7 linked regions of the Oryzias latipes genome follow. The protein of the gene in region 3 interacts with the protein of the main gene of each other region in a pairwise test. Links are inferred from orthologs where the notes say so. Each region holds a gene or a part of one and is shown on either strand. Other genes may lie near its edges. The genes, in order: FXYD domain-containing ion transport regulator 6, slc35b4, creb3l1, 5'-AMP-activated protein kinase subunit beta-2, fam3c, mfsd5 and tmem11.

The links.
Region 1: the proteins of creb3l1 (region 3) and FXYD domain-containing ion transport regulator 6 interact in binary tests that used the Homo sapiens proteins (3 or more experiments, as listed by UniProt). The two-hybrid records come from large-scale screens. The link is inferred for Oryzias latipes from reciprocal best matches to the Homo sapiens genes CREB3L1 and FXYD6.
Region 2: the proteins of creb3l1 (region 3) and slc35b4 interact in binary tests that used the Homo sapiens proteins (3 or more experiments, as listed by UniProt). The two-hybrid records come from large-scale screens. The link is inferred for Oryzias latipes from reciprocal best matches to the Homo sapiens genes CREB3L1 and SLC35B4.
Region 4: the proteins of creb3l1 (region 3) and 5'-AMP-activated protein kinase subunit beta-2 interact in binary tests that used the Homo sapiens proteins (3 or more experiments, as listed by UniProt). The link is inferred for Oryzias latipes from reciprocal best matches to the Homo sapiens genes CREB3L1 and PRKAB2.
Region 5: the proteins of creb3l1 (region 3) and fam3c interact in binary tests that used the Homo sapiens proteins (3 or more experiments, as listed by UniProt). The two-hybrid records come from large-scale screens. The link is inferred for Oryzias latipes from reciprocal best matches to the Homo sapiens genes CREB3L1 and FAM3C.
Region 6: the proteins of creb3l1 (region 3) and mfsd5 interact in binary tests that used the Homo sapiens proteins (3 or more experiments, as listed by UniProt). The two-hybrid records come from large-scale screens. The link is inferred for Oryzias latipes from reciprocal best matches to the Homo sapiens genes CREB3L1 and SLC61A1.
Region 7: the proteins of creb3l1 (region 3) and tmem11 interact in binary tests that used the Homo sapiens proteins (3 or more experiments, as listed by UniProt). The two-hybrid records come from large-scale screens. The link is inferred for Oryzias latipes from reciprocal best matches to the Homo sapiens genes CREB3L1 and TMEM11.

Annotation. Positions count from the first base shown.
Region 1 is NC_019871.2:15,102,223-15,105,722, forward strand, and holds part of FXYD domain-containing ion transport regulator 6, read right to left. Parts: intron 1,684-3,500; 5' UTR 1,679-1,683; coding exon 1,630-1,678; intron 1,336-1,629; coding exon 1,312-1,335; intron 190-1,311; coding exon 154-189; intron 44-153; coding exon 1-43. UniProt on the Homo sapiens protein: Associates with and regulates the activity of the sodium/potassium-transporting ATPase (NKA) which catalyzes the hydrolysis of ATP coupled with the exchange of Na(+) and K(+) ions across the plasma membrane.
Region 2 is NC_019864.2:13,508,418-13,510,580, forward strand, and holds the end of slc35b4 (UDP-xylose and UDP-N-acetylglucosamine transporter), read left to right. Parts: coding exon 1-7; intron 8-85; coding exon 86-161; intron 162-240; coding exon 241-316; intron 317-881; coding exon 882-1,125; 3' UTR 1,126-1,663; downstream 1,664-2,163. UniProt on the Homo sapiens protein: Antiporter that transports nucleotide sugars across the endoplasmic reticulum (ER) membrane in exchange for another nucleotide sugar.
Region 3 is NC_019860.2:23,113,825-23,116,799, forward strand, and holds part of creb3l1 (cyclic AMP-responsive element-binding protein 3-like protein 1), read left to right. Parts: intron 1-86; coding exon 87-233; intron 234-308; coding exon 309-367; intron 368-2,652; coding exon 2,653-2,721; intron 2,722-2,975.
Region 4 is NC_019875.2:22,984,605-22,987,584, forward strand, and holds the end of 5'-AMP-activated protein kinase subunit beta-2, read right to left. Parts: intron 2,974-2,980; coding exon 2,859-2,973; intron 2,769-2,858; coding exon 2,635-2,768; intron 2,515-2,634; coding exon 2,446-2,514; intron 1,805-2,445; coding exon 1,727-1,804; 3' UTR 501-1,726; downstream 1-500. UniProt on the Homo sapiens protein: Non-catalytic subunit of AMP-activated protein kinase (AMPK), an energy sensor protein kinase that plays a key role in regulating cellular energy metabolism.
Region 5 is NC_019881.2:16,839,307-16,843,414, reverse strand, and holds the start of fam3c (protein FAM3C), read right to left. Parts: upstream 2,801-4,108; 5' UTR 2,666-2,800; intron 2,592-2,665; exon of another isoform or gene 2,547-2,591; intron 2,361-2,546; 5' UTR 2,315-2,360; coding exon 2,299-2,314; intron 2,220-2,298; coding exon 2,115-2,219; intron 1,581-2,114; coding exon 1,557-1,580; intron 1,425-1,556; coding exon 1,301-1,424; intron 61-1,300; coding exon 2-60; intron 1-1. Other genes in the region: sortilin-like, read right to left, coding at 4,004-4,058. UniProt on the Homo sapiens protein: May be involved in retinal laminar formation. Promotes epithelial to mesenchymal transition.
Region 6 is NC_019865.2:12,565,901-12,569,915, forward strand, and holds the start of mfsd5 (molybdate-anion transporter), read right to left. Parts: upstream 2,801-4,015; 5' UTR 2,669-2,800; intron 1,776-2,668; 5' UTR 1,695-1,775; coding exon 246-1,694; 3' UTR 1-245. UniProt on the Homo sapiens protein: Mediates high-affinity intracellular uptake of the rare oligo-element molybdenum.
Region 7 is NC_019866.2:14,557,044-14,560,979, reverse strand, and holds the start of tmem11 (transmembrane protein 11, mitochondrial), read right to left. Parts: upstream 2,801-3,936; 5' UTR 2,786-2,800; coding exon 2,586-2,785; intron 2,252-2,585; exon of another isoform or gene 2,194-2,251; coding exon of another isoform or gene 2,147-2,193; intron 704-2,146; coding exon 187-703; 3' UTR 1-186. UniProt on the Homo sapiens protein: Plays a role in mitochondrial morphogenesis.

The sequences.
Region 1 (3,500 bases), on a different chromosome or scaffold from region 3:
ACCACAGCAAAGGCCAGTCCTCCAATTCTCAAACTTTCATAGTCTATGAACAAGAAATGCAAAAAAAGAAAAAAGCAGAGGGAAGAAACACACTTCTAGTTGAAGTCGCATGGTTGATGGTCGCTTTCATTTTTTGGTTCATTTTTTACTTACCGTAAATAAAAGGGTTATCAACAATCTTTTTGTTGTCTGTAGGGAAAAATAATTTACAGAAACCAGTAGAATTAGAAAGTTGATTTTTGATCAATATTTTCATAATTTCTTTGTGATTTTGATTAGGTAAAATGCATTTAAAGTATTTGCTAACATTGTTGCACTTCTTTGTTTTATCTCTATATGAATTACAAACGTACTACTAAGTACGTTTTTTTAAGATCATAACATACCTATACCAATTGATAAAAATGTAACAGAAAAGAATCTATGGTGTTACGGGTTCAATGTTTAGTTTTATTGTTTTAGTTCAATTTTATTTTGAATTGTTTAGGCTGATTTATTTATCAAAGTTGCCGCTGACAAGACGCCCTCTTGCATTTGTGTTCTCCACAACTATTAATCCCTCACAGAAATAGTTAACGGACCTTCTGTTTTACATATGACTATAATGTTTTAGGAAGAATAGAATAGAATAGAATAGAATAGAATAGAATAGAATAGAATAGAATAGAATAGAATAGAATAGAATAGAATAGAATAGAATAATATAGAATAGAATAGAATAGAATAGAATAGAATAGAATAGAATAGAATAGAATAATATAGAATAGAATAGAATAGAATAGTGACTTGAGGACTGGCACATGGGAAATGTGGGTTCAATATCCAGAGCTTCATCCAGTGTGGGTCCTAGGGCAAGACCATTCGCACTCCCAAACTATTTAGCCAAAAGTGGGTCCAAGTCTGGGTCTCTCTGTGCCAGTCCACAGTCCAGATCAAATACAGGGTTCTGTAAGGAAGTGCTTCATTGAAATTACTTTCTATCTGCAACAGCAGACAGTAATTACAGTACAATAAAAGTGAACTTTTGTGAATTTCCTGCAGAATCAAATAATTACTTTATAAGTATATATTTTTGGTACTCTATTTGCAACATCTAGTATGCAGGCGCATCCTGGACTTAGTATGCAGGCGCATCCTGGACTAGACAGAAATGTTTGAACAATTGTTAACATCTTTTTTTAGATTGATTAGGATGCTGCCATTCCATTAAAATAAATCTTGCTCTTGTTCTGCTTTTTCAATTTTGGACAAAACATGCAACTTTTTACTGTTGTTTAGAAATCTGTTAGAGACTAAATACAGAAAACTCACCATTTTCACTTGAGTCAGCAACAGCTGGGACACAAAAACAGATTGTAAAGAAATGTGATGGTTGTAGAAAAATTATGTTTTTATACTATCTTTATTAACAGGGATCACACAAATATACACTTTTTCCATCACACAACTTTATTGTCATGCATATTTAGTTTTACTAAACAGTGTAATAATTAGTATTTTTGAGCTCAAATCTGTAATTTTTTTGCAATGAGGCACAAATTTCCTATAAAGGAACAACTGCCCTCTAGTGGACAACGGGTGAAAAGGGAGGCAGCACTATGCATGTGTTTTATGATTATGGGCACTTACCTGACACGCACACCAGGAGTGAAGAGAAGAAGAGCAAAGCCATTTCCATGACAACTGTTGGCACAAAATAATCAGAAAGATAAGACTTTAGAAAAGAAAAAGAAATTTTTGGCCTAATAATAAACAACAAAACAGACCTATGGCCCAACTTCAGAAAAGTCCCTGGAATTTTTCTACTTTAGGTGTTATTTCAGGGTTTTTTCTGTACATAAAAAAGTACAAAATGATATCCAAAAAGGGGATTTTGCTCTGAAAGTGATTTTAAGAATCTTTTTAACATTAAGAGTTTTGGATTTCCATCATTTTCCCATTTTCTAACCATCATTTTTATTCAATGAGGAGCTTTTATAGTTTGGTAAGACCAGTTATAATATGCATTGAGTGTCCATTTCTTTGCCAGTAGTCAGACAGTTGCTGTTTTTCACATCAGATGTGATGCTTGCCCATGCACAATTCATCATTTAATATTGATTTCAGACATATTAACAAGCATTTACTTTATCATTTTTTATATTTTCTATTCTGCTCTATTTTATTCCATAATTATTTTTGTTTCAGTTTAGAATTCCTTTATTTCGGCCAGCACATGTTTCCAGAGTGTAATGTATGTGTAATGCATATTTGTCTTATTTAGTTTTTCGTGTTCTTCACTAGCTTGCTTTCCATGTTTCTCTAATTCCATCAGTACGGCTCAGGATTTAACTGTAGCTTTTTATGTTGAAAACATTTTCCTTTTTTTTTGAGGTTTCAAATATGATTTTTTTTCCCCCATTTTTTTAATTAGATACTCTTTTTACAAGTTTACAGTTTGATGTGTTTTATTTTAGGCTTACTGAATCTGCTCAGACTGTTTGTTTTCTATCTTTACAGATCTAGTCAGAAGCTTTGTCAATTTGCTCTCAACAATTGTTAAGCAGATCAGCTGTGTTTATTCTATAGAAAATATTTGTCTAAATAACTTAAGATTTACCAGTTCTTACCAGCAACTGCTGGAAGGGCATATGAGTCGTGAAAATCTAGAAGTGTATCTTCCAATGACAACAGCAACTCATCATTTGAATGTCCTATAGTTGGTATGTGTTTACTTCTTGCACCCGAAGAAAGCTTTTTTTTTATTTTGTCTTTGTGTATTTATATTTTACAGATAGCTAAACGAAAGACATTCACCTAAATATATTTGAATTTAACTTTTTTTATGAAACTTGATTGTTGTAAAACATGGCTGAGCAACATTTTTTATTCATGAGCCACAAAGGGTTGTAAAATTTGACAAGAGGCAGGAGCAGAAACAGAGTTTTTTTTGGAAATCCGCCTCGCAAAAAGAAAGAAATAACAGAACAGAAAACATACTTTGATTTTGACAGAAAATGAATATATACCGTATTTTCCGGACTATAAGTCGCACCAGCCCAAAAATGCATTATATAGTAGAAAAAAACACAGATAAGTCGCACTGGACTATAAGTCGCATTTTGACGGGAAATTTATTTGACAAAATCTGAGACCAAGAACTAATAACTTGCACAACCTCATATGACACAATCATAGCAGACTGTTTATCTCATAATTTCACAGTAATTCTTTCTCAGACTTATTTATTTATTCCTTTCATGAAGCATCATTGGCCAACTAATACTCTGTTTTCATCCTGTATTTGTAGAAACAGTTGTCATTTTTATTGCATTTCTGAATCTATAAAATCATTGGAAAATAGAATATTGTGTTTTTAGCCTTCAAGATCTTACTGTAAAAAAAGTTTGCTGATTCTCTGAGTCATTTAACATACTCTTAACACTTAACATACCTCATACATCCTATTGACCCAGGAACATCATCTCTGTTCCTCACAAATGAACATAACAGGAGGGTTA
Region 2 (2,163 bases), on a different chromosome or scaffold from region 3:
CTATAACGTGAGTTTTCCCTTCCACCATCGAGGTAACAATGACCACACAACTTTATTCAGGAGAAATCTGCATTTCTGTTTGCAGCACTGCCTGCCCCTGCCGGGGTTCCTGCTTCTTTCTACAGACATCTACAACTATTGCAACCATTTTAGCCAGAGCAGTGAGTGTTTTGAGCCGTTCAGATGAGCTTTTGGTTTGGACTATATCAGATGTAATTGGTGGTGATTGTTTCCTGACAGCTCCTGTACTCGTTCCTGTGGTGGGACTGACCGTACCAATCATGTGGATCTACCTTCTAATCAACGTTATCACACAGTATCCGTCAGAAAAACAAAAAAAGTACTTTTTTCAACCTTGTTTGTATACCTTACTGAAGTTGAAATGTTCATCCTATTTATTATTTATTTAGGCGTCTGTAAGTACACGCAGTAAAACATTTTCTTTGAAGTTGCCGTATATGTATAGGTAATGCAAATAATAATAATTTCACTTACCGGTATGTATTTTTGGTTGATAGAGTATTTCTGCCCCAACTAAAACGTCCTAAGAACAAAGTCACTTTAAATAAAGTTTTTGTCTTCACTTCATCTAAAAAAAAAAAAAAAACTTATTTAAAGATACATAGATGTATGTATTTTGTAGTTTGTTGCCTCTTAATTTTCTTTAAAAACAACTTAATTTTAGATTGGGGGAAAATATTTCAATCTTTAAACATCATGACGGCTTTCTCTTAAGAGTTCTATTAATTTTTTATCGTCAGCTCTTTATTTTAAATTAAAGACCCCGCGCTAGACAAACATAATGACATACAATCTTTGCATATTTTCCATCCTTTTTTCTCCTTCCGTATGACTGCTAAAGACTTTAACCGTTTCTCCAGATATGTCTGTATTCGGGGAGTTTTTGTCTTGACCACAGAGTGCACGTCGCTGACGGTCACCTTAGTGGTGACGCTACGAAAGTTCCTCAGCCTCATTTTCTCCATCATTTACTTCCAAAACCCCTTCACTGCGTGGCACTGGTTGGGCACGTTCGTGGTCTTTGTGGGGACTCTGCTTTACACCGAGGTGCTGAGCAGCATCCAGGCAGCTCTCCGGGGAACCGGAACGAAGAAGGCGGAGTAATACAGCAAGCCTGGAGGATGGGAAAATGTTCCCCATGTTGGGCTTTTTAATACACCCACAGCTATTTTTATAAAATTAGTTATTTTGCTGTGGTTCTTCAATCAAGTCAGTCAAAAGGTTTCACTAAAAACAAATTGTCATATTTTCCATTTATAAATATGGATTGAATCATGTTTGTAGTTTTCATAATTCTGAACGTGTTAGGATGTTCTTTGTGTGGTCGACACTCCAACTCAAAAAGTACATAAGTATCTGTAAATTATGTATTATTTCATTTGCAAAAGGATTTCTTGACCTTTACTGTGCCTCTGTAACCTTATAAAAATAGATGTGCTCAAGTATGTGTTGTTTAGCTCTGTGTCTGATATGAAAGAGGTGGACAGTTTGTCCTGAGTCCAAATCTTAAAAAAAGTTTTTAAATGACTGTGTGCAATATGGATTTCACCAAACCAACTGTATAAACAATTTCAGCCATGTTTGTTGTTTTTCTGTCTGAGCGTTCCCAATAGTCTTTTAATTATGATCATGCTGTTTTTAGTCAAAATTTAAATAAAAAAACTGTAATTTACATAGTTTCTGGAGAGAAGTAGCAGTTTGTTGCAAATTTGTCCCAAAGTTGTGAGCAGGGGCGTTGGTGAAGAGCAACCCTGCTCCCCTTTACACAATCTCCCACTGGCTTACAGCCATTCATACCCACAACCTAACTTTATCGGTGCAATGAAATGGCAAGCAATATCAGAGCTATCCAGCCGTACATTTTTGTGCCAGATACCAGCACGGACAGGACAAAGACGTACATGGACCTATTTGTCTGCAAGTGGATGCATCAGTATGGAGCAGAGCACAGAGCTTTTGGACCCCCCAGCACATTTTCTACATAAAAAATATGATCTTTTTTAAGCCGTATTTGTTGGACTGCACCTGGTTGAATTTATACAATGCCAATATTCTTTTTAAATGTTGGTGTGTTTAGTTTATATAACAATTCAGCTTTTTTTTATATACTTATTTGCTTAACTTCCTGTCATCCCAACTAAT
Region 3 (2,975 bases):
AAGAGTTACAGCTTTCATTTTGGTGATAAAAGTTTGGTTTGAAAATGATTTCATGGAGTTTTTTATTGTTCCGTTGTGTTCTTCAGAAGCTGCAGGGCTCGGGGCCGCTCATGCTCACAGAGGAGGAGAAGAGAACGCTGGTGGCAGAGGGGTACCCCGTCCCCAACAAGCTTCCCCTCACCAAGAGCGAGGAGAAGGCGCTGAAGAGAGTCCGGCGGAAGATTAAAAACAAGGCAAACTAATTGAAAGAAAAAAAATTCCATCTTACAAAGTTCCTTTTTGGTGACAAATCACATGTTTTTGTTCAGATCTCAGCTCAGGAAAGTCGGAGGAAGAAGAAGGAGTATGTGGACTGTCTGGAGAAAAAGTAAGGCTTTTGATTTTTCAGAAACATTTGTTGGTTAATTCGGTCTGTGGACGCCCAGTTGTTGCATCTGTGAGGTCAGAAGGTGTTTGGGAGATTCACATCTCCTCTGAGCTTCCTTTGGGATCATCCGTTTACAGACCGAGGTTTTCCCTCTCTAGATTTTTATTATTTATCGCTGAAGAATATGGAAAAACCTTCAGCAGATCCAGTTGTGTAATGCTGAAGTGGAGCTGGCAGCAAACGCTCACTTCAGGGCCAGCTTTTGTGTTTGGAGGTTTCCTAACCGTGGCGCGGAATGACAGTACGGCTCTGCTGGGGGGCGGAGCTGGAGGCCGGCGTGGTCACGAATGTTTGAGCGCCCTAACTGAACGAAGATTTCTTCATCATCATCATCAGTCGCCTTTTTAGACCTACCAGACTCATGAAGAGCAAAAAACTTTTTTATTCACTTTGACCTGGTTCCAGGAGTCTGCTGAACACATGGAGCGTCATGAAAAGGAAATCTAAACATGGATTAACATTCCTTTCAGAGTAACAATAATCCTAATCCTGAAGATTTTACACTTAAAATGCCACTTTAATCTGAACTAAAACCTCAGTGACGGAGCAGCTTTCTTTTAGGAATCAATCGAAACGCACACAAACATTTTTATCTGCTTTGTAATCACATTGTGTCTCTGCACTAAAGAAATACCTGCCAAAATATTTATAGTCCAACTAGCACTCCGAGACTATTTTTCAATTATTTAAAAACATTCGCCAAGAAATAATTTTAGTGTAGACTTGTGGTTTTATAAATCCCAACAGAAATAAATTCTTTCCAAGCTTTAATTGCTAGGATCACACAGGAAGTTCATGAAAAACGTGGCGGGGTCAAGAAACACAACATTTTTTTAAAATAAATTAATTTAAAAAAGAGAAACTGTCAAAGAAATACAAACAACAGACTATTTATTTTAGAAGTGGCTGTACCCCATAAAAACAGAGAAAAAAGGCGTTTATTTCATCCAGAGTGTTTGCATCCGTGTCACATGATCACAACAGCCAATCAGATGTCGGAGTTTACGCCGCGCGGAATCCGGAGGAAAGCTCCGCTAATATTAGCAGCTAAATTGAAAAATTGGGAAAGGATCGCTCTGACGTATATTTGAAAACATTTTAGGTGAGTCGAAGTAAAATGTTAAACTTTTGACAGCGATTGTTATAAGTTATTAAAATTAAATTAGAATGTTTTCGTCTCTTTCCCCCCCCGAAATGCTGTTTGTTTTTATAGCCTGTATTAGGATTCTTTAAAAAGTACATTAAATAACTTTCATTGTCTACACTTTTCATATGCTGTTTGGTACAAAAATATTAGTATATAATTTATCAATAAAAAAAGACTAATGATAATGAGTCGAAAAGTAAGATTTGGGATCGATGCAATAAAGAGCAGAGCCACCTAGTGGCGATCTGCTTCAACTGCAGCCTCTAATGAAGGAGATGCAACAAGTTTAGATGTTATTTCACTCTGAATAACGATAACATCAAAGTTTAAATCCGGAAGAACAGTTACCAAATAACAAAATAGGCAGAGGTTCATTTTGAAAGCTTTATTAAAAAAAACTTATAACAAAGATTATGCCTGCAGCAGCAGCAGTTTTATTAGAACACAAACAATAAGTAAAACCGTACAGAACCCCCCCCCCCAAAAAAATGGAGACCATAACAGTTAGGTTTTTTCCTTCTTTTATTTTATCTTTTATAGTCCTGAACACTTGTGGATAAGGGTATGTCGTATAATTTCTGGTACAGGGTCACGGGGGTCGCTGGACTCCATCCCAGCTGTCGTCTGGTCACCACATTAAAGCTTTCGGGACAAACGTCAAGCGGAGGTTAAGAATGGATCTGAATCAGCTCTCGTTTGTTAAAAATATGTAGCTGTTGAGCATCTTTAAGTAATTTAATATGAAGAAAACAATCATGAAGCAGATCGTCCTTTTATTCTCCTTTGAATTATTTATTTACACACTTTATGTAACACGGCACAAGTCGTTTGAAGCATTTTCTTTGTTTGTTTTCTCCTTTTATTCCATGTTAGACTGCATTCAAGTCGACCTAAATGACATATTTGTGGTATTTAAATCCACAGTGTGACATTTTTTTAAAAAGTGTCCCATAAGAAAAACGGAGGTGAAACATTTCCTGTTTCCTTTGAGATGCCTCTGTTTGGAAAAGTCGAGCCCCTGTTTTGGGTTGGTCAGACTTTAACAGAGATGCTGAAGGACGATGTCTGCCTCCTTCAGGGTGGAGAGCTACACGTCAGAGAACGGCGACCTGTGGAGAAAAGTGGAAAACCTGGAGACGGCCAACAGGTGAGGGTCGCGCTTTTCCTCAGAACGCAGATCGAACTGAGCGTGGACGGCTGTGTCACCCCCTCTGTTATTATAACTATATGATCTGCTATTATCCCGGGAGTGGGGGGGTTGCTGGTTAGACGGGTGTGGAGGGGTAGAGGGGTCTGAGGCCTGTCATTAGGCGAGCAGCAGCTTTCATCATGAAAACCAAACCACCTCACAGAGGGGAACAATGAGCTGGGCGCTGAGTCAGAACGGTGAAGTTGAGAGGC
Region 4 (2,980 bases), on a different chromosome or scaffold from region 3:
TGAATCAATTAACGTTACATTATGTGGTGACTTCTAAAACTAAAAAGCCAGCTTCTGAATGACAGAGAAATGTCACCTTGTTAAATACAAACAAAAACTTTTTACTATTTGTTTCTAAAAAATAAAAATAAAGGGAAGAAAACCATTTGAAATGTTTGATTGGTTTGAAGTTGCATATGTATATAAAGCTTTTTAGGCTGCGAGAGCTGATGCAAGACACATGAATGCTAATTTTGGTGTGTTGTCTTAGAAATCAAGGCCTTTGAGAGAATAAAACAGTTGAAAAAGTTGTTTTCTCGTTTCATTTCTCATTGATTTAAGTTTCAATCTTTTAGATTTTAACTAGTTGCATTGTTGCTAAACAAAGTTTGAGCATTAATTCAGGGAAGTACATGCCACAAAAGACCATCACTTCCACAAACCCTTTACCAGAGCTGCACTTTAGAAACAACCATTTGGAAAATCTGTTTCATTGAAAAAGAAATGACCAAGAGAGTGGCATTAGGATCAGAGTAGTGTATTTATTTGCAGTACAGTACAATCTTCTATAGAGGATTACCACATTGTTTATGCTAAGCATTTTCATAGATTTATCAAGTATAGCTGCAAAATTCAAGTTTTGGTTTTAGCCCTAAAAGCCCTGGATCCATGGCTCTTTTCCAAACTCCTTTATCAAATCTTAGTTTTAAAAAATAAAGCCGAGCTTTTAGAAAATAAAAGCCCGGCTTAACATTCACAGAATACTCTAACATACCTCCGAGAGATTCTCCTTGATGTTTGAAGAGTTGTGAGCATTCATACGCAGGAACCAGCAGCTCAGAACCAAAACACGGGTGTGTCTTACATATAAAATTTAAATAAATGGCAACCAGTCATCATCAAAGCTCTCCTAGGTTCTCTTCATTTCTCAACATCAATGTATTCACAACATCTATGAAACTGAAATGTGAGCGCAGACAGACCTTTAAGCAGCTCCACACGTGTAACACACAGATACAGTACGATAGTTTTTCTTTAACAAAGCAGACAAATGTGAGAACACACTAATTAGATGGAAGACAATACAATGCAAAGGCTACTTACTGCATAGTTATAGCTTGTATCAACGATAATGCTTACAAACATTCATCAGAATAAAAGCAGCAGCTAAGCAAAGACTTTAGACCACTTCCTGTGTGGAAAAAAAAGAGCTACTAGTGAAAAAGAAAAAGAAATGGCTACAACTGTAGCTCTGGACTAAGCTGGGCATCACGGCTGCCAAAACAAAAACAGGAATACAAGCCTTTGGCTCAAACAGAATTCACAGATGATTTCATGACCCACTATTGCACTTCACCTTAACAAAAGGTCACCTGTCGTTCTGTTTACATTCAGCGAGCGACATAAAAAAAGTAACAACGCAAACGCAGCAGAAACAACAAAAAAAACAGACCGTTTACTGTCATCTAAAAACTACAATCACACAATCAAATGTGAAAACATACAAACACCACGCAGTGATTTAATCAGGCTCATCGGCAAGGAGATGTCACCAGCTAAAGCCGTAGTAGAGTTGTCTTCTTTTACCAAAACCCCACACCCTGTACCGTTGTTCAGAGCCCTGTGTAGAAGTGCGGCTTTCTTTGGAGCAGCCTGTAAACATGTTTCAGTGCAACTCCTGTCTATAAGTGATGGCAAACTGAAAAGAAAACGAACACGCTGCTCTCTCTGAGCATCTGAAGACGGGTTAGATGGGTTTGTACAGCAGAGAGGTGACATACTTCTTCTTGTATCTGTGAGTAGCACTTAGCACCATCACTCCATCCTACACAGAAGAAAAAAAAAAACAAAAGGGTTCAAGAGCTGCAACTCTGGAAGAAAAGAAATTGCAAAAATAATACAAAGTTAAAACTGCATCGTCCGCCCATTTTTTTGTGGAAAATATAAAAAAGCTGCCTCTTTTCAAGGTCAAAGGTCAACAACACTTTGGTTTGGGTAGCAGACTTAAAACGCCTAATTTCATACTCCTCATGGTTCTGTGGCCATCCAATAATAATTTCAAAACTTCCTTTGGATAGCCCCGACTCGTGTGTTTTGGTTTTGTTGATTTTTTTTTTTTGCCTCCTTTCATTTTTTGACAGTTTCGCCTGCTGTCATGTCATCATTTTTTGGAGGTGGAGGTGTCGTGTGCAAAGTTTGGGGAGTTTTTGAGAATGTGGCAGGGGTGACATTTTCACCAAAACATGCAGTAAGAAAGAAGAACTGTAAAAACAATCAGGTCCTTGCAGTCCAGGGCTAATTAAATGAAGACAAACTAGAACCAAAACTGTCACGATCAAAATTCAACTCAGCGACACTGAGGAAAACTAAAAAGATGAGGCAAAGAGGCAGATAAAAAATATATATATATTTTCCAATTTAAATGGAAAATTCTGTCTAAAAGCAACATTGTAACAGTGAATGTACCTTTATTGAGAGAGCGTAAAGGTGATTTAGCATGACGTGGTTGGGTTCAGGCAGCAGAGCAGGGTCACACTGAAGTGCAGAGACCAAAAAAAAACACAAAGATTATTGTTCAGAGAAACAACAGCAACATGGAAGCAGACGGAATTGACAGTAAAAGGATGAATCACTGAGAAAACGTAAAACACTGACTGATATGTTGGTGTCCTTGTTAAGAATGACTTGAAGCAGGTGAGGGGGGAGAATCGGAGGGGCTTTGAAGTGCTTTTCGGGTCTGAAGATGTACTGCTCTTGTCCGTACGGACCTGGAGGCGAGCTGGACAAGTCTGGAGACATGAAGATGTGTTCAAGGCCGAAAATGTACCAATCTATTTAGGCGAGCAGCAAGAGAACAAGATCTATCACAGGAGACGCACCTGATGTGTCCGAGCACTCCAGGGAGTCCACCTGCAGCGCGTCAAACACCTCAAAGTCAGACTTCTTCACCTGGATCAGGTTGTTGATCGTTCCCAGCTGGCTGGTTACCACCGGCTGCAAA
Region 5 (4,108 bases), on a different chromosome or scaffold from region 3:
CCATCAATCAGGGCGATGTTGATTCCTCTTCCCACATTGTTCTTCACGCCGCTCATTATTCTGCAAACAAGAGCAGAACCACCGTGAGGCTGCAGCCTGAAGGGATCCAGAAGGAGGGACGCTGACATTTAGCCTCACATCCTGTTCGGCCGATGTTTGTGGAGGCGGAGCTTCACCACCACCACTTAAACACATTTTAGCTAGAAAGTGAATAGCAGCACATAGTTTTTGAAGATAGTTACTATTGATGACACTTTAGGACGTTATGAAATGACTCTAAAATTATTTTTGTTACTAAGAAAAAAACTCAAATCCCCCTTTTTTTAAATTATATTTAACACATTTTTACATCGACTGATTTCCATAAAAAAAAATTTATATTATTACAATAATACGTGACTTTTAATGAGGTTCTTCACAATAAATAAGATGCATTTTTCTAAAAGGACTTCCCTTGTTTACAGTGATAATAGATGTGAGCATGGCATTTCAGACACGTTTGTACAATCTTGAACTTTTCTATCTCACCTCATGCCTATCATTCTCTATTAAAGAAGTCTGGCCGCTTTCGCCTTCAGCTGCTGAGACACAATGTCCCATTTAAAAGGCATTCTTTACACAAGGATCGTTTGAACACAAGCCTGTGTAACCTGGTGCTCCTCTCAAGAAAAAGTGCAGCTAAATTGGAATTTGTGTGTAATTTGTAAGGGAACAACTCTTTAAAAAAGGGTTTCATTAAATAATAAACAACTCTAAAAGCAGAACTTGTGGATTGATTGGATCCTGGCAAACACAAGATCAAGACCTTAAAAAAAAAAATCTTCAAACAATCTGGTCGGTGTTTTCAAGAACCGGCTTTTGTCATATCACATTAAGACACGGCTCAATGGAAAAGTGACACTAAACATTAACATCCACACAAAAGGCAGCTCTCCTTCATTCCAGGAACATATTTACCAACTATTGACTTACAGCATTTTTTTAGGCTTTTCCTTAGAACATTACTGTTGAAACCTGAAACCTTCATTTTAATTAATTTTCCATATGGTTTTGAGGAAAAAGACAAAACTTGAAGTGATTTAAAACGATTTGGCCACACACTTTAACAAGATTATTAACAAGATTTTGTATAAAGTGCAAACCCAAAGTGAAACTTGAGGCAGTAAACACTCAGGTTAGCGGTCAGAAGTAAACCTTTCACCAAAGATTTCAGGTAACGATGACTCGAGCAGAACTTCTGACCAAAATCTGGAGACAACGGCTCCACGGATCGCCTGGAAGTTGCCTTTTTTCCACTTACAAGTTGTCTTCTAGGCACATCCTGGGCCCGACGACACTGGCCGCACCGCTCGCCATCTTGAAGGCAAAGTGTTCTGGAGGACACGCTTTGGACAGCCCACATTTGTGTTTGACCGGTTTTGCCGCTGCAAATAAAAAAACTCAATCAATAGTGATCAATATTATCATGTTTGCTCTGAATCTTAGCTTTGAATTAAAAAAAAAAAGCAGCGTCCTAAAGTTTGAAATTAAAATGAGAATAATTAGGGAATATTAACCTTCAATCATTGGCAGGGATCTCGCTGAAAAAGGAAAAATAAAAGAAGTGTAAATAAGTTATTCTCTTGTAAGGACACATTTCTGAGCTACATAAAAGCTCTGGATTTCTAAACATCTTTATTTCATCAAATTTAGATGTCATAGTACTCAATATTATTTTATTATTAACCAAACCTTCAGTCCTTTCAGTGTTTAATGGAAATAATGGATAGACTATTCATTTCTAAAGCAGAACTTTAAGCACCTTTTCATAAACATGAAGTGTTTGCAGCTGCTTTTTATAAATAAAAGTGTTTTTTTTTTTTAAGGAATAACAATGGCATAACTTAAAAGTCCACGATGAACAGATTCCCCCTAAAGCAGTGTGGGTAATGGAGTTCTGGTGACACAAACCGGTTCCTACCATCTCTCCCAAATACAGAGTACATGCAAATTTTTACATTCTGTACAGTAGAAGAACAAAACTAGGTGAAATTATTCAGTCCTGTTGACAGACTTCTTTCTGTTAAAGGGTAAAAAGAAAAAAACTATCAGGAAATGATAGCCCGGATACTTACAGATCACACTTCCAAATTTAAAATCCCCGTTTATCTCCAGCAACTGGAAAGCCAAGAAGGCAACCAGTAGGATGGCTGAGATCAGCGTTACGGCCTTCAAAATACCTATGGAGAGGCAAGAAAAGAGGCCAGTTTAGCCTAAAGGTCTTTTTTTAATAACTTATATCGCATTAAACTATCTTACCGCCGGGTCTAACCATCTTGAAGGGTTTCCAGACAGTAACAGTTCTCCCCCAGCCTATGAGCCTGTATTAAGAAACAAACAAAATAAACAAAAACATGCGTTAGTTCACTAAATGTATTGTTGCTGATCGGACCCAAGTTGACGGAACACAGAAATAAACTGCAACTAATGCTAACTGTTATCTCTTGTCTCGATAAACTAGTTGTTAGCATGATGACTTCTAGCATATTCTCACTAAAGTGACGTACGCTTTGAGATTCGTTTCCCAGCTAGCCTGCCGTCGCGCTAGTAACTGCCACAGACAGCTTAACGTCTAACTTTAAAATGGTCATATCTATGAATTACAGACTACAATTATATTTCTTACCGTCTGTCGGAAGACTACACGTTCCCTGATAAGCTTGGTTCGCCGACAGAGCAGACTCTCCTTTTCCTGCCCTGACAGCTGAGATATGGAGAGAAACAAACACCTGAGGTGTCACTCCGTTGCAAAACTATAACGCGCAGTCATCTGTGCACGCGCTACAACAAAACAGGTTGATTCTTCATCAGGTTGATTCATCTGCCGCAGATGATTCTTTTCTGAGCTTCTTTTTTTAACTCATTACCTTTTAAGCCCCCCAAAATATGAGTCTGTTTATTTAGTTCTGTACACATTATTGAAATCCTTGTTAATTTATTTACAAAATATTAATTTGATGTTTAAAAAATAGAAAATGCCAAAAACTCAACACTATGAAATAAACCAGATATTTACGCAATATCGCAAAATACGGTTAAAAAAAGCCTGGGTACTGCTTTTTTTTCAAAGCTTTTTTTTTGTTTTGTAAGTTTTTAGAGATTACCTGTTAAGTACAAGTACAAAATATCCGGAAACTCCCTACAAACATACTTATAGTTCATATTTATATAAAGAAACATATTCTTCCTCCATTTAACTTTTTGATTTAACCGTATGCGCCTAAGAAAATAGCTTTGAAATTGAGCAGTCTTGCGACCTTTGCACGAGTGAAACGTCTTTCATGAAAACATCTATATATGATCCTTAACGGAGTTTTGCTTCTTCTTCCCTATGTATTTTCTGTTTGAAAGGTCATTTCGAAACAGAGGTAGCTCCTCTAGTGGTCAGCTTTGAGACATACAGTGCAGTGATTGCCCCCCCCCCCCCCACCTATGATTGTCACCGAATTTTTCCCCATGCGGATATATTTTAAACAAAAGATGTTTTATAAAAAATATATGTTAAAAAAGTATTAAAAAGATGTTCAAATTTAGAAAAATGTTAAACTGAGAAACTGCATAAGAAAAGTACCTTACTTCATAAAACTTTTTTTTCATGTGTTACTAAGAAATCCTGTGAACATTTGATAAAAAATATTACAAAACAAAAAATATAGCTTAGACAAATATAACCAAATGAACAAACAACAAGATTTTTAATGCAGCTTGTTTTTAAAGATTTTTCAGATTTCTTTTCATTTTCACAAACTTACAAAACAATAACAAACCAATACAGCAATCAAAGAGAGACAAAAGAAACTTGAGAACTGTGCTTAATAAATAAAAATGAATAACATTAATATTTAATTAATTAAAAAATAAAAACTTGACACAAAGGGGCTTCCATGAAAGTGGTGGGACGTTTCCAAGAAAGCGTGGCTTGCGGTTAGTTTTTAGTGCAGAGGGTTTTAACGATGAGCGTTCATCATGTCAGGGAAATGGAGCTGTGCGTCACTGATCCTGTGAAATCCTGTAAGATCCTATGGAAAGAATCATCCGTTTGCACACTTAAGCCACAAGCTCAGTAATA
Region 6 (4,015 bases), on a different chromosome or scaffold from region 3:
TCCAGTTTCCTGGTTGAATCCCAAGTATTTTGCTTTACATGTGTTTACAGTTTTTCTTAAATAAAGAACCAAACGGTAACAAGTGATGTGAAATAAAATGTAAACTAACCCTATAGCCTTTTAGGAGGTTGTCAATCTCCTTCTTTGGCAAAATACGAACTTACCCAACATATTTTCTTTTATGTTTTATCATCAAAATGTGCCCTTCTGAACTGTGGAGTCCAGGTTTTGAATGTTTCCAGTTCTTAAAACATCTCCCCATCTCCTCTGGTTCCTTCAAGTCTCAGGTCAGCATCGTTTCTACCCAGAGTGAAAAGACTCACGACAGCCATCAGTGCTGCCAGCATCATGACGGCACAGCCTCCAAACATATGTCTAGTGCCACCCCCGCCTTCTCCTCCACCCATTCCTGATACTTCCCCGTGGAGCGCCAGGAGTCCCAGGCAGGCCAGCAGGTGCAATGGCAACCGGAACCAGGCCAACACACCGGCTCGCTTTTCCTCTGGAATCACTCTGCCCTGCAGAAAGCTGACTGCTGGGAAGTACAGACCACTGGCCAGCTCCAGCAGGAGGAAGGCCAAGAAAGATTCGTGTGGTCTCGGCTGTCCTGGTGCAGTAGAAAAGGTTAGCATGAAAAAGGAGAAGAATGCCATCAGAACAGCGAGGCAGAGCACGTGACCAGGCTGCAGATGGTAGTGAGTGGAAGTGGCAAGGCGGTACAGCAAGGAGCCGACCATACTTGCAGCCATCAGGGAAGAGAAAACTATTCCCAAAGGAGGCCCATGAGGGTCTAGAACTGGAGTCCATAGAAAAACAAAGATGTAAAGAACACTTTCAAACAGAGCTTGTACTCCACCCAAAAGGAGAACTCTTTTGTCTGACAGCAAACAACGCAGCCCTTCATGGCAGCTTCGCGAGAACCTGCCTTTTGCAGTTAAACGGGGACCACCTCCATTTTGAGTACCAAGTAGTAGAGTCTTTTTGTCCCCTTCAGGACAGCCTTCAGCTTCCTCCTTCCCCCAGTCTGTTAGCACCACCCAGCCACAGCAGCCCAGGCAGGGGACAGCCAGGAGAAATGGAGCCACTGGGCCCAAGTGGAGCCACTCAGCCAGCAAGTTGGCCACCAACCCAGCTCCCACAGCAAGGCCGTGATTCCAAGTAGCAGCTCTGGTGAACGTGCTGGGGATCCATTCCTTTGGAAAATCCTGGACTTCTACATGCTGGTGCACATACCAGGCTTCAAATGTGGTAGCAAGCAGGGATGTGGACAGGCCCCCCAAAATACGGCCCACAATCAAAACAAAGTAGTCTCTGGAAAGCTTTGTGAGGCAGCAAGCAGAGTAGCACAGGCAGAAGAGAAGGCAGGTTTGTCTGCGGCCCAAGGCTTGAGGTAGCCAGCCCGAGAAGGGAGCAAACAAAACACACGAAGCCAGGCCACACACGTACAAAATGGCTATTTGGGACTCCAGGAAGCTGTAGTGGCGATAGAGTTTATAGAGATAGGGGCCCTGGAGCCAGTCTGCCCACAGAGCCAAAAGGTAAGCCCTCAGGAAGATTTTCTGGAAACGCCGGAAAGCTGGGTTAGCCACAGCTGATGGAGTGGACTCAGGCGGTGTGATGCGGCGTGCTGTCAGCTCCAGGCCAACACACAGGGCGAGCAGGAAAATGACGGCGAGATAAGCTGTGACCAGCATGGTGGCAGAGACTGCATCCGCTTGAGGTTAAAACAGGGAAACTGATGTGGTTCCAATTCTATTCCGTCTGCTCCTCAGCCCCTACAGGAAGGGAAAATTAAACATTAGACTTGAATGTGTCTTTATGACCCACTTTAATCATATATTTATCTATTCTAAAAGCGTTCCTGGTGGTCTTTTCACTTTGATTATAATGTTTTAGTCAAAATAAAAAACCTGTCTTCTTTAAGGACATAGTTTCTGCAGATCAGCAGGAATTTATCAGAAATTCACCTCCGAGTTGTGGGCAAGACTGTTGCCGCAGGGTAAGCCTGCCCCCACTTCCTGTCATCCATGTGTTGACACCATCTCCAAGTAGTTTACAACCCATAACCTAACACTAACAGTGCAACAAAAATGCGGAGCAATATCTGAGCTATCCAGGTGTACATTTTTGAGCCAGATGCCTGCCCAGACGAAGAAAACAAGACGTACATGGTCGTATAAGGGGATGCATCAGAATTGAGCAGAGCAGGAAGCTTGTGGCCCGAAAGTATCAACTACGTCACAGCTAGAGGCTTCGGCATTTTTATCGTCTGCTCTTGATTCACAACAAATTGAATAAAGACATACCCAGAAATACAGCTTTAATCTTCAATTTCTTACATATCCTACTAGTAGTCCATCGTGAGAAAAATGCCACATTTTAAAAACACCAAAAAAAACAAGATTTTTAATTATACAATGCAGCGCATAATTAAATGTGGATTAGCTAACCTTTACTTTAGTTGTCTATGACAGTTTAACACTGACAATTTCGGTAACTTAAACACTGCTAATTAATTTAGAAATTGAAAGAAAGTAGTGAACCCCGACCGTTTGCTATTAGCTAACGTTAGCTGCATGCTAGTGCAAAATAAGTTGACTAAATGAGTGGCACCGCCATCTTTAGATTTCTATCCCAATACAACATTTTCCAACGTAACCAGTCCTACCGTGATTTTTGACAGCCGTCCCATATCAAGCAAGTCCCCTTGCAAGCATCAGCTTTGAACGAGAAGGAAGCAGAATCAGTACACACGTTAAAACATTCACTTCCTGGATTTGGTGCTTACTACTATTACGCCACCAGGGGGCAGCCGTGGATCTTCTGTTTGGTGTTCTGTTGGTGCTTGGTTGGAGAGCAGGTGCTTGACGCCGGTGAACACCCATTTCCTAGAGATGCAATCATTGAATACATAACTAATAATATCCTCTATCGTATCATTTTAAACATTGAAATGATGAAATGGAATACAGTATTTATTCCTGGAAAGTTGTGTGTGTTTTGCTTTTGTTTGAGACGCATGCAGATTCTATAAATAGAAACTTTCATATTCCATGTGAATAAAATAGCAATTTTCAAGTATACTCAGACTACTTGGTGACAATTTTAAACGGTTTCAGAAACCTTCATGCACTTTTCTCACGTTTTTTCTGTTCCATTTTTGATCTTTAGGATATAAAAGGTGTGTATTTGTATTTAATATACAGTACAGTACAGTTTGGTCTGTACTGTTTAATATGTATTTCTGTATATATATAAATTCTTATATAGGCATATTGTACTTGTTTTAAGTGTTGGACTGAATATAAAAGGATAGAGGAATAAAGAGAGGAGTTATAGTATGTTGTATGTGTGTGTGTGTGTGTGTGTGTGTGTGTGGGTGTGCGTGGGTGTGTGTGTGTGTGTGTGTGTGTGGGTGTGCGTGTGTTTGTGTGTGTGTATGGGGGAGCTGTTCACAACAAGGCAACGCTAAAAATGGGGATAGAAAAAGAGGCATAAAAAATTGCTAAATGTTTATCATTATTGCTAACACAGATTAACCAAAGGCTTTTTATACTCAAGCACACACCCAAACGGCACACAAAACTGCAAAAACCATCATAAACATGTCAAACTCATTTATATTTTGGACATACAGAAGAACTCACGCACATTGATTGTATACACGCACACACAGAGACACATGCAACACATAATGTCATACCTGTGTGCATGCAAATGTTGTGCAAGGGTGAGCATGCGGGATGCTGAGGTGGGTGTGTTGTGTACAATGATGTTATGTAATGGGAATGTGGAAAGAAAGGTAAGAAGCTCTACCATTTACTCAAAGCCCAGAGAATGCCAGTCAGAGCCTTCCAGATGCCCCCTGTTCACAGAGAGGCAAATCACGGGACAACCACCCTCAGACAATCTGACACCAACTATCCTGAAACAGGGCCAGGAACCTTAGGTGCAGGAGAACACATGCAGAAGCCCCTGCCTGGGCACAGAGTAGATCGTCCTCCTTTCCCTGGGT
Region 7 (3,936 bases), on a different chromosome or scaffold from region 3:
TTTCTAGTTTAACTATATCCCTCTGACCAACGCAGGAAAAACCAATTCCAGAGGAGCTAACCTTTGCTCCCGTCTTCACTTCCATTTTCTTACAGTGAGGGGTGGGGTGGGGTAGCTTCTGTTTTCTTTATCTAATTAGTTTTTCTCCTTTTTTTTTTGTTGGTACGTAAATCTTCTTCGGTGCACTCATACTGCATAGAGTTCATAGATCTTCTTGGCACAATATGCCAGGGCAGCCAGTGCTATCGTATTATGGAGTCTCTTTCTGTGGACGTCGTCCCTGCGTACCAACACCACCGGAGTAGAGGAGGTCAACGTGTGCAGGGGCAGCCGCGAAAGTTTTTGGCTGTCGTATTCCACCTGGTATTTGCAACAAGGATCAAACTGCCACGATATCCCGTAGAGGGCAGCGCACGCCACGCTGAGGGCGCCGGCGGGCAACGCCACATACCGCGAGTATTCAGCAGGCAGTGAAAGCGGTGTCAGGAGGCAGGCAGAGCCTGATAACACTGCCGTCTTGTGCAGACAGTTTCCCACCGTAATCCAACGGGCTGTCTCATCTCCGATCCGCGTGGGCTCAATAACAATGTATTTATACTGGGCCTCCAGAGCTTGCTCAAGCTCATACTCGAACTGGTCCTGTGCATTCTCCCCATTGTAGATCTCATGCACTATGTAGCAATCCGACGCCGCCATTACTCCCCTGTACACAAAAAGGAGAAAAAGTGATAAACAATCAAAGGCAAGCAGCATTGCAAGAGAATAAAACAAAGACATTTAAGGGTGTGTTTGGTATTTTATGTCTAGCTGAACTTAAAGTAAGTTGGCATATGAAAGAAAAAACATCAAATGATCGCGTAGGAACTTGGGGAACCATGCTTTATCTTTAGCTTGTTAGCCTTACATTTGACCATTTACTGCTTGTTATTCACATGTATTTACGTGTGAGCAAACTCAAAAACTGATGGAAATTCATGTCAGCCACACATAATACATGCGGCAAAAATGCACATTGCTGCACTGATTTTAAGTGCGTCCAAGGCTGCATGTTGCTGTTGGTCGCATGTATTAACCTAACCATAGTTCTAACCTTTCTTCCAGGTCTGTGCGGCCAACAAAAGAGAGTGTATTTAGAAAATTATGCATGAATAGTCACTTAATTCTGCTTTCCTTAACATGCCAAAACATAGTTAAAAGTTTTCAAAAGAATCCAAGGTTCAGAAGTTCAGCAGATAAATCCAAATCCTTTCATTGTGGAACAGCATTAAAGGATGTGACTGTGTTTGCCAGCTAATTGGATAAATATTGATCATATTTCTCTCATTTTAAACCACTTGAATTTTGAATTGTATTAATTACAAAGCACTGCTGACCCAACCAAAAGTTCAATTAGGAAACTTGCCTTTTTGTAAATGCAAACATTTTTAGAAAAATGTGTGCAAATGCAGGAGGTAGTGCCCCAAAACGCACTTTTGGCTACAATATAACATTAGGAAATTCATATTGAAGAACTTTAACAGGGTTTAAGGTGAGTTGTTTGGGGAAAACTCTCCTGAAATTCAGTATTTCGAAAATTTATCTGAAAAAATAAAATTAGTCTTGGTGGATCATCTTCTTCGTTGACTCACATATGTCATCAGCGTCGTCGAGGAGTGGAGAGAATGATGTTCTACTTGACAATGATTTCAGTTTTAGGATGGCGATGTACGGCACACGAGCTAACTTGCTCGCGTGGTGTAAAGTTGAGAGACAGAACAGCAACAGTTCAAGATCGTTTTTTTGTAGCAGGTCGACAGCACACAATTGCCTTTGACCTACATTTCTGAAAAAATGTGAGCATTAACAATAACGCGTGTTCGTGACAGTTTTTAGTGATCAGCAGTTCTTTTCTAAGTTAAGCGACTGGCTTAAATGTAATCAAAATATCACATGAGCATCTAGTTTGTTTCCCTTAGCGTTAGCTAAGAATTCACGTTAGCCAGCTAACGAGAGCTAATGGGGTTGAAATTATAACTTTCTTCGCTGCCGTTTGACTTTTAAACTTGGCCAATGTGCATGTCGGAAAACCCATGAACTTTGACATCGACAAAGAAATGTACCCCACCAAAATATTCTTGCTTAAACAGTAAAATGTGGAGTAACTGACCTCTCCCTGCTTATTGGGACACCGCGCCTCCTTCCGAGCGACGCCATGTTGGGGATGCAACTGTGATTTCCTTTGACGTATGAAAGCGAACAGCATTCTGGATATTGCTGTTTGTAAGTAGTTCCGAGTTAATGACAGACTAGTCTAATTGGACTACATCTCCCGTGATGCTTCATTAAATGCGTCTATACTGTGTATATTTTGTAATAGCACACTGAAATTCGGGAGGTCAGACCACATTTTACAAGTTTATTTATTTCTTAAAAAATATATATATATTAAAGGTACGTTTGCTTTATTTGTAAAACCGTTAAAAATAAAAACGTGATCGTATTTTAATGTAAAATGTATATAAGATGATGCAAGCAGGTTTATGATATTTCCTTTATCATATTATTTATTTCTACACCGTCTAGCTTTCCTATTTTTGCAGACTTACCCATATTGTACCTCTGTCCGTTGGTGCGGCGATGCGAGCTGCCTCTGCTGTAACCTGACGCCCTCTGGATAATATCGACGCTGTGCCAGGAACAGTAACGTTACAGCCTGGTGGATAACGCATGCGTCACTTCTGAACACACACAAAACCAGGAATATTTCTTTTGTAAATATTGCGTGTGTGAAACGTTCTCGAGACATTTACAATTGCTTAAGATTTACACGTTCTCTGTCCTATAAATTACAAGTCAGCCTACTTAACGCATAAAGGTTTTCAACTCAAACAGTATTTGCAAGCTAAAAACCACAGATTTGTGTTGTAAACTATATAAAACTGTATAATTTGTTATTTTGATCATAAAGTGTATCACAGGAAAAAAACAACCCTTTGGAATACATATTCACATTTGCTGCCATGTATCTACAATATGACAATATATGGGTGCAAACATTATGATGTTGGAAGATGTGTTGCATAAAAATATGTTTGTGGGAGAACCGCTCCATCTTTCTTTTACATGGATCAGTCATCCTGGTCCCTTTGCTGAAAAACAGCCCCAAAGCATGATGTTTCCACCCCCATGCTTTACAGTAGCCATGGTGTTCTTTGGATGCAACTCAGCATTCTTTCTCCTCCAAACACAATGAGTAGAGTTCTTACCAAAAAGTTCTATTTTGGTTTCATCTGACCATAAGACATTCTCCCAATCCTTTTCTGGATCATCCAAATGCTCTCTAGCTAACTCTAGACGGACCTGCACATGTACTGGCTTTAGCAGGGGGACACTTCTATGATGGTAGCCTTTGAAACTTTGGTCCCAGCTCTCTGCAGGTCATTCACTAGGTCCCCCTGTGTGGTTCTGGGATTTAAGTTCACCATTTTTGTGATCATTTTGATCCCACGGTGTGAGATCTTGCGGGAAGCCACAGATAGAGGGAGATTGTCAGTGGTCTTTCATGTCTTTCATTTTCTAATAATTGCTCCCACAGTTGATTTCTTCACACCAGCTGCTTACCTATTGCAAATTCAGTCTTCCCAGCCTGGTGCAGGTCAACAATATGGTTTCTGGTGTCCTCAGACAGCTCTTTGGTCTTGGACATAGTGGAGTTTGAAATGTTTCTGTTTGAGGACAGAGTCTTTTATATAGATAACCAGTTCAAACTGGTGAAATTAATACAGGTAATGAGTGGAGGACAAAGGATCCTCTTCCTTAGTTAGAAGTTACAGGTCTGTGAGAGCCTGAAATCGTACTTGTTTGTAGGTGACCAAAAACTTATTTTCCACCATAATTAGCAAACAAGTTCTTTAAATATTGCTCAATGTCATTTTCTGGATTTTTTCCTCATTTTGT